Yarrowia lipolytica: one gene and its partners. The protein of the gene in region 1 interacts with the protein of each later gene in a pairwise test. Links are inferred from orthologs where the notes say so. Each region holds a gene or a part of one and is shown in the gene's direction. Other genes may lie near its edges. The genes, in order: YALI1_B16944g, YALI1_D02362g and YALI1_E35023g.

Region 1 (3,863 bases):
TCTGAAACGGAACGCTCTTCGGTATGTTCTATGCCAGAGACGTGTGCCACTTCTGTTTCCGATCTCGACGACGATTACATGAGCGCAGAGACCGTGGCTGAACTGGCTAACAACAAGAACAAGCTTGTGGTTGTTATCGATAGCGCCGTATACGATCTGAGCGACTACAAGGCACAAAACGGACTAGTGCAAATGGTGCTGAAGTCTCTGAATGGCACAGACGCTTCGTGGCAGTTCTGGAGAATGAACACCCGACAGCAATGGGAGGAGATTCAGAAGTTTCGAATCGGAGTGTCAACAGGAGTCCCCACCAAGTACAGCCCGCCTCGAGAGCGCTTCTTCTCTCTAAGAAGAGTCTACTGATCATTTTTTTGACAGGTGTGGAGAAGACGGACAGGACGAGGAGAAGCATTAGACGAACTGGAGTCGTCACACTAACATATTTATAGCATGCATTACCAATCACACATAACCAAGAGGCAGTAGGCTAAGTATTCCAGTAGGTGCCTGTCGGGAGTAGTCGGAGGTTTAGGGGGGATGTACTGTACAAGTATCAGTACTCTCAGTCGAAAGTATGGCTACAATAGTTGATAAACAGCTCACAGAATGTAATTATGCCAGCTAAATATACCAACTATCAAAAGACTGTGCTTTGTAATGCTCATAATTATACTTGGGGGTCTTAAGTACACACATTTATTGCCTGTTGTCTCTACACGGCAACCCAAGTGAAACATGTTTCAGTGACAACGGCGAGCAAAGAACGGCTTTACAGCAAAGCAATCATAAAGGGGAGTTTGCGACACATAACAGACTCACCAAAATGAGTGTGGAAGCCTCACAGACGTCCAATGCGACATTACTTACTGAGCCATATTAGCTAGTCCTAAATATGATTGGGGTGAGAGGAGAAATAATGTGTGTACAGGTATGCTCACTTGAGTAAGGGAACTACAACCACGGCCCATCCGTGCTCAGCCACTTGTTCACGATAACTGCGCAGGCAACATATGCTCATACCCCTCCCCCACTTCACATGAAAAACCGGTGTCAGTGTCCTGGCAAAAGTTAGCCTCGGCGACCAGGGTCGCCTGCCTACCGATGTTATGCAGCAGGTTATCATTGTTATCGGTGTTATCGGTGTTATCGGGACTATCTGCGGTCACGGGCATATGTGTGGCCGATATTCCGACAGTGCACCAGCTTGCGAGCCGCGGCTTTTTCGGCTAGCGCAATTTATGGGGCTTTTCCTTTTAGAGCCCTTCCATGTGGTTTGACACCTTTGCAACCGCCGTTGTCCTTGCACCAGTAGCCGTTTTTGTCCATTCGAAATAGACTATGAGAGAGCGAGGCATTGGGAGAGTCAAGGCAATGGAGGGGGGAGCCGTTTCGTCGAGGACTGAGCTATGTACTGTAGCACCTCAACAGAAGTACGAGAACATAACATACTTAGAATGTTGGTACAATATACAGAACACTGCTACAGGAAACACCCATTATATATAACTTTTTTTCTTTTGGTAGATACACAGATATCACACAGAGACAGACACTCACAACGTTTGCACCCAATAACTTGCTCCGCCAACATGACAACACATGTCAAATGCATAGTATGATTGGTAACATGAGTGTAGAAACGAATACAACTACCGGTAGAGGTCTGTTGATGACAAAAAAATATATATTTACAGGCAAACCACATCGCAAATACCTTTTAGTCTGGTTACTATCACGTCCAAAACAGCCTCCAAGACTCGCTACACCCCCACCCCGCACGTGACCCTAACCCAAGATAAGCGCGCAACCAAACCTACACACCAGACTAAATATCGGACTCTCAAGACTCGTCTACACAGTCACTCTACCATGGGAAACGTTCCGGGAAAAGAACAGCAGGTGCGCAACGCACGGTCCGTTTCTGAGGACTACCACCGCGAAGGCCAGGTCAGATCCAAGAGGCCCTCTGCGCCTCGAGAAAAAAAGCGGGAGCCAAGAGTCTTTGTAGACCCCAATGAACAAGTGGATGGTGGCTATCTGGTGCCTCAGGGAGTCTACACCGGACCACAGGATTTCGACATTCTTGTTGTCAAGAGCCTGATGACTAGTCGCAAGCTTGCACCGTTTTTCAAGGGTCTACAGGACTATGAGGAGGAATGGACTGATCATCAACTTATGGCTGCCATTAGGGGCTTTCCTATCCCCAGTGCAGCATCAGAATCGCCTACAACCGAATCTACAGACACAAAAGACGCTTCAGCTTCCACCTCAACCCCTCACGCAATTTCCACACCTTCACATCTGTCGCCACCTACAGCTCCTCCTCAGGTGGCCATCTCGCCTCCCCGACACACTTTGTCATCGAACAACCCGTTCAGAGACCCGTTGGAGCATATGTCGCATCTGAGAATCGATCTGGACAACACCACGTTTTCCCAGAGCGCCCCAACACCGTCGTGGATGCGTTCCGGAGAACCCGATCAGGAGGACGGGGACGAACTCATAAACCCAGGCATTCTACAGTCCCCACCAAGCAGGGAGGCTCCCAAGCCACCACCCTCACGACAACGGGCCAAAACGCTCACCAACAAAGAGCCCCCGCTTATGGTCAAAATCTACAGAGACCCCATCGAGTGTCCCATTTGTTTTCTGTACTACCCAAACTCGCTCAACATGACCCGATGCTGTGCCCAGCCCATTTGCTCCGAGTGTTTTGTGCAAATGAAGCGAGCTGAACCTCATCCTCGACATGACGAGCCTGAACCTGACACGTTGCTGGGACAGCTGGATCTCATCTCCGAGCCCACAGCCTGTCCCTACTGTGCTATGTCCGACTTTGGAGTAGTGTATTCGCCTCGACACGGCCCCGGAGCCAAGGCTGCAGGAGCCAACAGTGCTGATGCCGCTGCAGCCAAAGGGAACGGTGACGAGTCTGCTATTGATGATTCGGGAGACTCATCAGACGGCATTGACACCACCAACATGGACGATGTGGCTGACAAGCTAATGCACATGTCCGGTGCAAAGCGTCGATCGTCCATCAGTGTCACCAACCCCAACGTCGTGACCGTTGATCGTGTGCGACCCGACTGGTCAAAGACGCTGGCTGCTGCTCGAGCTAGAGCTGCACGAAAGGCTGCTACTGCCAACGCTCTTCATGCCACGGCTTTTGTGGAAGGAGGCAATGGGGAGGTGGCTGGATCATCTAGATCATCGCGACGAACCCGCCAAAACCACGAACAACGGCAGGCTGCCCGTGCTCAGGAGTTGGAGCAGATCATGCTCTCAGAGGCTATGCGTCTAAGTATGCTGGAGAGCCAAGAGGCGGAAGAGAAGCGCTCCAGGGAGCAGGAGAGCAAGTAGGAAGCAAGAGTCAGGTAAAAGCGTTTGAAAAAGTCTGCCACCAAGAGCAACTTTTCCACAACCAACGAATAGATATTTATATGCATAGCGTCGAGAGTTGTAGAGAGGGTTGTAGACAGACACTAGCAGTGGAAATAAGCCAATTGCGTGTATGAGATGGTATCTGAAGGCACGATACATTATCCAATTATACAGTATTAACACATTACAATACAGTATGAGTAGCTACAATGTACGACGATACAGCTACTGTAGATGAGTTTAATGTTTATTGTAGCTACTTAGACCTTTCTATTAGCAGACAGTATCCAGTTGAGCTATGTAACCAAAAGGATTCTGCCTCGTCATATATCCTCAATACCGGATAAGTAGCAACCTGGCAATCAGGGGCCTACTACGTCGCCAAGGATCTACACTCTAGCCGCCGTAATTAATGCACTGCAGGGTCTGCAGAATGTCTTGTCTCAATTTGTGGTGCCTGCTTGAAGTGGGGTCGTATG
Region 2 (4,336 bases), on another chromosome or scaffold:
AGTAAGCACATGCTCAATGGCTGAAAGCAGCTTGATGACAGACAGTAAGTCGTGGGGATCGTCCAAAGAAGCCACTGTCGCAGCCAGATCTCGTTCAAGTAGCGTTCTTTCTGTGTCTGTTATTCGAGGACCATTGTGAGGCACTGCCATGAGATACTGAGTGTTGTCATCGAGCAGTTTTTGGAGCTGGGTTGCTGCAAAGCTCCCGCTTGATCGGTCGTAGCTGGATATTTCACATTTCGGTGGCTGCTTGCTGTATCCCGTTGCCAATGGCGCTGTGAACGGGTTTTCTGGTTTGTCAATGTTCATGTTTGGAGTGATGAAGGTTGAGTTGAAGATTGGGTTTGAGAGTGGCCGAGTACAGTGATTGGAATCGGTTCTTGAGCGTGATCAAAAAAGATTGTTGGTTTTTCAGGGAAACAAAAACGGTCCCAGAAATTAATCGCGCCATCATCTGTCCCTCTTATTCTGGCTTTTTTCTCTCCAGTCTCGCACCATTTCGGCGACACGCATGCCTCCTGCACTGCACTGTACATGCAGAACTATTTGTATTCTCCTCAGACAAGATCACCAAAGTAATCGTCACCATGTCCTTCAGAGGAGTTCCAGTATCATCTGCAGAGGCAAAACAGCGCCAAGAGCGAGATCTCGCCAAGTTGCGCGTGCCGAAAATCTACAGAGAGGCGGTGGACATGACCAAGGTGAACCGGCCGATCATCAACCGGTGGATCACTACGAAGCTGAATGAGCTGCTGCCAGACGACGACATTATCACTGATTACACCCTGGAACTGTTGGGTGGAGACAAGCCAGATATTCGGGAGATCCAGCTGAATCTGAACGGGTTTCTGGAGGAGAACACAGCCAAGTTCTGCAAGGAGCTGTGGGAGCTGCTGGTGGCTGCCCAGAAAGACAAGGACGGCATTCCGCCGCAGTTGATTGCCATCAAGAAGGAGCAGATGGAGCAGGAGCGGGTGAAGCGGGAAATCAAGATTGAGAGTTGGAGTGGTGGGGGCGGTGGTGGAAGAGACAGAGGTGATAGAAGGGAAAGAAACGACAGAAGAGACGCAAAAGGAAGAAACAGAAGAGATGGAGATAGGAGGAATGGCGATCGAAGAGACAGAGACAGAGATAGAGATAGAGACGACAGGTCAAGTCGTTCAAGTCGGTACAACCGATCAAGATCAAGATCTCCGACTGTCAAAAAGGAAACAGATGAATATGGCCGGGACCGGAAGGACTAACTGCATTATATATAAATATAGATTCTTGATTAGTGATCAAAGCATGAGATACTGTCAAGGCAAGCAAGCCTTACAATATCTGTTGGCTTAGTTAAATCTTTTTTGAGATGTAATAATTGGGGAACCTCTGTTAGATGAACAGTTGCGGCTTACTCATCTTAGACATGGTCCAGTTTAGGCGTAATTAATTATCAGTTTTAATGCGCCTCTACGTAATAAGCGTTGCCACAAGTTACAGTAGAGATGATACCATTGCTACAGGACCGTATAGCGTATATAATGACGAGGCTAATTGATGATGATCGACAGCGAAGACATATCTACGTCAATCTGACGCTTCATTTTGTGCTTCTTGTTCGGATTTGTGTTTCTCCCAGTGCACCCAGTTTTTTGCTGACCATTTTTTGCTTACCAGTTTTTGCTCGCGCGTTTTCTCGATTGAACTCTGCTGCGAGGGTGGTGTAAGACACACTCCCTGTAGAACATGCATTTCGAGGTGTGACATTTCCATCTCTGTTAAATCAAACGAGTGACACAAACGGAATAAATCTACATATACGTCGAACCCTCTTCTTCTCTTCTCTCTCTTCCTTAATAGACACCCTCGCTATCGACTCTGCTCCTCCTTATCACACCATCAAAGTTTAGGGTGTGTCCCAACACCACCTCCACACCACACTCTATTATCACCACCTCCACGACTACATACCACTCCTTCCACCACCTCACAAATGGCGACCGAACACGTGGAACACGCCGAAAACGCCAAGCAGTCGCCCCAACCGTCCTTCTCGGGCTCCGAGAGCGGCCGAATTGGCCGGTACCAAATCATCAAGACTCTGGGAGAGGGCTCCTTTGGCAAGGTCAAGCTCGCCTACCATCTGGCCACCCACGAAAAAGTAGCGCTCAAAATCATCAACAGAAAGACGCTGGCCAAGTCGGATATGCAGGGCCGAGTCGAGCGGGAAATCTCGTACCTGCGACTGCTCAGACACCCCCACATCATCAAGCTGTACGACGTGATCAAGTCCAAGGATGAAATCATCATGGTGATTGAATTTGCCGGCAAGGAGCTCTTTGACTACATTGTGCAACGTGGAAAGATGCCCGAAGACGAGGCTAGGCGATTCTTCCAACAAATCATCTCCGCAGTCGAGTACTGCCATAGACACAAGATTGTGCACAGAGACCTCAAGCCCGAGAACCTGTTGCTCGACGAAAACCTCAACGTCAAGATTGCCGACTTTGGACTCTCCAACATTATGACCGATGGTAACTTCCTCAAGACCAGTTGTGGCTCTCCCAACTATGCTGCTCCCGAGGTTATCAGTGGCAAGCTGTATGCTGGCCCCGAGGTCGACGTGTGGTCCTGTGGTGTCATTCTATACGTCATGCTGTGCGGCCGTCTCCCCTTTGACGACGAATTCATCCCCAACCTCTTCAAGAAGATCTCCAATGGTGTCTACACCATTCCCCCCTATCTGTCTGCCGGCGCAAAACACCTGCTTCAACAGATGCTGGTGGTCAACCCCCTGAACCGAATCACCGTCCAGGGCATCATGGAAGACCCCTGGTTTAAACAGGGCATTGCCGAGTACCTTGTTCCACGTGACCTGAAGCCTGATCAGGTGGAAATCGACGACAAGGTTGTGGGTGCTCTTTCAGACACCATGGGCTACGACCGAGACCAGGTCTACGAGGCTCTCAAGGCTCCTAAATCCGACGGAACCGAAATCCGAGATGCCTACGACCTCATGAAGGAGAACAGACAGCAGTTGGAGAAGGACTCGACCGTGTTCGACAAGGTGGACGAATCCGGCAAGCCTAAGCACCAGTTCTCGCGAAAGAACCCGCCGGCTCTGACGTTTGACTCACATCACATGCCCACCATTGTCGACCATTCTGATCTTCGAACCCCTAACACAACCATTGCTGTTCTTCCCTCCTCGCTGCCAGCATACCATCGGGCCAACATGATGGCCCATGGTCCCGCTACCCTGCGTAAGCTGAATCCCATCTCATCGCGAAAATCAAAGACCCGATGGCATTTCGGCATTCGGTCCAAGTCGTACCCTCTCGACGTGATGGGTGAGCTCTACCGAGCTCTCAAGAACCTGGGAGCCGAGTGGGCAAAGCCATCAGAGAACGACCTGTGGACCATCAGGGTGCGATGGAGATACACCCCTGAAAAGGATGAGTCGGACAGCACAACTAAGCCAGACAGCGGACTGCTTAAGATGCAGATTCAACTGTATCTGCTGGAGCAGAACTCGTACTTGGTGGACTTCAAGTTTGACGGCTGGGAGTGCGAGACGGAGAGCGGTGAGATTAAGACCCGCGATGTCGCCCAGGTGTCGAATTCAAAGTCCGCCAACGAGACCTTCACGTTTTCCGCATACCCCTTCTTGCATCTGGCCACCCGGCTCATTATGGAGCTGGCCGTGAGTTCTCAGAAGGAGAGTGAGAAGTAAGCACTTGTAGAGCACACTAGGGATTTAGAGGGGATTATGGCACGTACAATATAGATAATTAAGCAGTAGCTGAGTCAGTTGAATGATCAGAGGTGTAACATGAGTGTGGATGGATTGTGTAGAGTCGTTGTTTAAAATAATGAGTTAAGAATAATTATACGACTACAGGATACGATGTACTTGTATTGTATCGATACAGTACATACAGTACATACGTGTAACATACTCCTAAACTGTTGCATCACCTACAACTCCAACTAGTCGGTCATAATTCATTAATACGTTTCCCTGGTGTAGTCTAGGCCAAACACTCCTTGGTGAACTTCTTGAGAAAGATTCGCTCTCTAGACTCCTTGAATTCTCTAGGCTGGATTTCGGCCCAAAAAGAACCCACAAACGGCGCAATACTCTTCTTGTAGCCGGAATAGTTGTCTCGAATGACAATATCCGGGTTGGCAGACCGCTGCTGATGCTCCTTGACGATGATACTCTCAAAGTGGTCCACGGTAGACATGACAATAAGAGCCGACGAGGTTTTGCTCTTGTAGTTGGCGATGAGCGTTTTAAGTGCCCCAGAGTTCTCCACCACCTTGTGGATCAGCTGATGCTTTTGTTCCTCGC
Region 3 (3,181 bases), on another chromosome or scaffold:
CATACACTGCTTCTCTAAATTCCAGCGACTTGACCGAGAACACCTCCTTGAGTCGTTGATACGACTTTTCCGTAGATGCCAGCTTATCTCTGACACCCTGGAGTTCCAGCTGCTTTCTCTCAAGTGAAGCCTGGGGTACAGACTTTGAGTTTTCGTTCTTGCCCATCAGAGCCTCGTTCTCAGCTTTAAGTGTGTCCAGCATGCTTTGCTTGACAGCTTCATGGCGAGAAGTTGGGTTCTCACGCAGCTCAAGAATTCGCACTCGTGATTCCTGGCTCTTCTCAAGACTCTCAAGCCGTGCCTCCAAGGCCTCCTTGGTCTTTGCAAGAAGTCTGGCCTCGACAGAGACCTCATCAAACTCCTGCTGAAGAGTCTGCAACTTACGTGTGTACTCAGATATGACTTCTGACGATACACTATCGTCTGCGCGAGGTCGTTTGGTACCTGCAGCAACAGTACACCCTTGCTCGCTTCTTGCCTCCTTCAATTCACCTTCCAAAACACTCTTCTCGTTCTTGACCGCTTCTAACAGTTTCTCCAGCTCGTCAATACGACCCTGCTTAACGTCAGCGCCAGCTGCTGTGACCTCCTCATCATCGTACGCCTTCAGCTGCTCTCTAAGGAACTTTGCCTCGTTGGCAGCAAGTGTGTGCTGCCTGATAGAGGTAGCAACTTTCTTTTTCTCTGTCTTGAGTTGGTTTTGGGCCAGCTGCAGCTCGGACTCAAGGGTGGTGACTCGCTCTTGCAATCTCGCATATGCTTCAGCTGTAGACCGGGTTTCATCATTCACTCCTGAACCGGCACGCTCCAACAAGCTAGCTTTTTCCATTCTAGCCTTGTTAAGAGCTGTGACAACCTCCTCCACAGTTTTGAACTCGTCCGATTTTTCCAAATAGGCCTTCCACTTGGCGCTGTTCTCCTCATGTACCAGAATTTGCAACTGCTGTTCCGCTAGCTGTTGTCTGAGACCTTCCATGTTCTTCAATTTACCCTTCATGCTACTCAGATCTTCTTCATAGACCTGACTGAGCTGCTGTGCAGACTCAGCCGCCTCTACTCTCACTGTCAGGGCAGACACTTTCGCCTCCAGTTCTCGCGAATACTTGATCTGGTCAGAAAGTTGACTTTTAGTCTGCTCCACAGCCTCCAGATCTTTGGCCGACTGTTTGAGATCCAATGATTCGCCCTTCAAGGATTCTACCAGCTGCTCGAATTTAACCACGTTCATTTTAGCTTCTGTGAGGGCAGTACCTCTATTCTCAACCTCCTTGAGCAGATCGTCAGTCGTTGTAGATGCCGCCTTGATTCTGTGTTCGTAGTCTTCAATCTTGTAGTTCATTTCCGACACAAGAGCTCGGTTCTCCGATTGTAGATCATTCAGCAAGTCCTTCAATCCTTCCAGTTCATGATTCAATTCACGTCCATCAGCCTCATGCTGAGACTGAAGAGATCGCAATTCCTCTTTAAGCGTGCGATTTTCGTCTGAGAGTTCTTTTTGTTTGTTGAACAGAAACACCTGGTCAGACTCTGCTTGTTCAGCTCGATCCAGCTCTTTCTTGTGCTTGGCCTCCAGTTCTCGCTCCTTTTCCTCCTGCAGAATCTGAGCAACCTGTTGCTCCTGTTTGAGTGCCTCCAAATCATAGCGCAACTGCGAAATCGTTTTTTTAAGCCCGATCACGTCTTCTCTAGGGGTTCTTGAAAACCGACTTGCGGTGGATGGTGTGCCATGGAGCGAAGGTGTGGCGTGTGTAGATCGAACTGGAGAGGGGCGATTACTACTGAAGAGCGCTTTCCTGGGGGTTTCCGGATGCTCAATGAACGGCGATGAGGGAGTGTCCGACATTGCACCGTTGGGGTATTATGATGACTGTGGTCCGGTGGTTTTGGTAGGTGTGAGCGTGATGTTGGTGGTAGAAATTAAGGTTCCTGAACGTCGTTGTCCCAGCAACCGGCCTTACGTTACCCTCATGCATCTTCCGAGCACGACGAGCTAATTACCTTGCCTACTTGACAGCTTAACCTCATCTAGAACACCAAAAACGACAACATAATGGCCGCCAAAATGTGAGTATGGGGAGGAGGAAGTGTGGGAACAACCGTTGTTTTGATTTAATCGCGGATTTGACTTACGTATTCCAAGCAAACGCCCAGAACCCCTAACTACATGGTCACGCAACCTCACCGTCCGGATTACTAACTCAGGCCCCGATCATTTCGACTCCTGGAGGAGCTCGACAACGGTGAAAAAGGAATCGGATCCGAAGCTTGCTCGCTAGGACTGGCCGATTCCGACGATATCGAAATGACTTTCTGGAACGGAACCATCCTCGGACCTCCCCACTCTGCCCACGAGAACCGCATCTACTCGTTGACACTCGAATGTGGCCCCGATTACCCCGACCAGCCCCCCACCGTCAAGTTCATTTCGAAAATCAACATTCCCTGCGTTAACCAGCAGAGCGGCGTGGTGATTCCCGCCAACCTGCCATGTCTCGCTCACTGGAAACGAAGCAACACGATGGAGACGGTGTTGCTGGAGCTGCGAAAGGACATGGGCCAGCCCGCCAACAGAAAGCTGCCCCAGCCCGCCGAAGGCAGTACTTATTAACCATTGCATTAGAGTAACAGAGCATGAGCACGAAAGAAGTACTGAGAGTACGGTATCCTGACACACAGTAGAGTGGCAGTGGAGTCTTGGGGTCAAAAGAGAACTGCCCAAGAACATCGTAGATCTTGATAACTTATATTAGTACTATTTACAAAGGTGACATCGTAGAGGGTTTTCCTAGGCGTTCAATTTAGGAGTGGCGTCTCTCCCCGATGCTTAGAAAGTGACAGCTGTGAATAGAGTGGGGGAGGGTGGGATAGACTAGTGTGAGATAAAGTCCAAACTCGTTCTCCAATCTGTGCTTACCTAAACAGGCTTCTCATACTCCTTATTTTCAGCCAGCTTCATCGCCGATCTGAAGTCATCCAGCGGGTCGATATCCCGAATGTTTTTCAATGGGACGTTCTGTGATTTTGTCGTCACCTCATACAACTGCTCTCGTCCGTTGACCTGACATGCTCGAAAATATCGTGTGAAGGGAATCAGGAGCTGTACTCCATTTGCGGTTTTTGATTCATACTGTACCAGCTTCTTAAGAGGACACTCGTCCACGTGTTTTGGCATCTTTGCGCG

The links.
Region 2: the proteins of YALI1_B16944g (region 1) and YALI1_D02362g interact in a two-hybrid assay, tested with the Saccharomyces cerevisiae proteins (2 studies listed by BioGRID). The link is inferred for Yarrowia lipolytica from reciprocal best matches to the Saccharomyces cerevisiae genes SIP5 and SNF1.
Region 3: the proteins of YALI1_B16944g (region 1) and YALI1_E35023g interact in a protein complementation assay, tested with the Saccharomyces cerevisiae proteins (2 studies listed by BioGRID). The link is inferred for Yarrowia lipolytica from reciprocal best matches to the Saccharomyces cerevisiae genes SIP5 and MMS2.

The regions. Positions count from the first base shown.
Region 1 is NC_090771.1:1,692,545-1,696,407, forward strand, and holds YALI1_B16944g (uncharacterized protein), read left to right. Parts: upstream 1-1,869; coding exon 1,870-3,363; downstream 3,364-3,863. Other genes in the region: YALI1_B16922g (uncharacterized protein), read left to right, coding at 1-363. UniProt on the Saccharomyces cerevisiae protein: May negatively regulate the SNF1 kinase by promoting the interaction of the REG1/GLC7 phosphatase complex with the kinase. Deletion of SIP5 promotes resistance to artemisinin, which is probably an indirect effect of an action on the electron transport chain.
Region 2 is NC_090773.1:234,241-238,576, forward strand, and holds YALI1_D02362g (uncharacterized protein), read left to right. Parts: upstream 1-1,975; coding exon 1,976-3,715; downstream 3,716-4,336. Other genes in the region: YALI1_D02345g (uncharacterized protein), read right to left, coding at 1-309; YALI1_D02348g (uncharacterized protein), read left to right, coding at 588-1,244; YALI1_D02399g (uncharacterized protein), read right to left, coding at 4,014-4,336. UniProt on the Saccharomyces cerevisiae protein: Serine/threonine protein kinase essential for release from glucose repression.
Region 3 is NC_090774.1:3,501,395-3,504,575, reverse strand, and holds YALI1_E35023g (uncharacterized protein), read left to right. Parts: upstream 1-2,050; coding exon 2,051-2,064; intron 2,065-2,202; coding exon 2,203-2,608; downstream 2,609-3,181. Other genes in the region: YALI1_E35027g (uncharacterized protein), read right to left, coding at 1-1,843; YALI1_E35012g (uncharacterized protein), read right to left, coding at 2,915-3,181. UniProt on the Saccharomyces cerevisiae protein: Has a role in the DNA error-free postreplication repair (PRR) pathway. Lacks catalytic activity by itself. The UBC13/MMS2 heterodimer catalyzes the synthesis of non-canonical poly-ubiquitin chains that are linked through 'Lys-63'.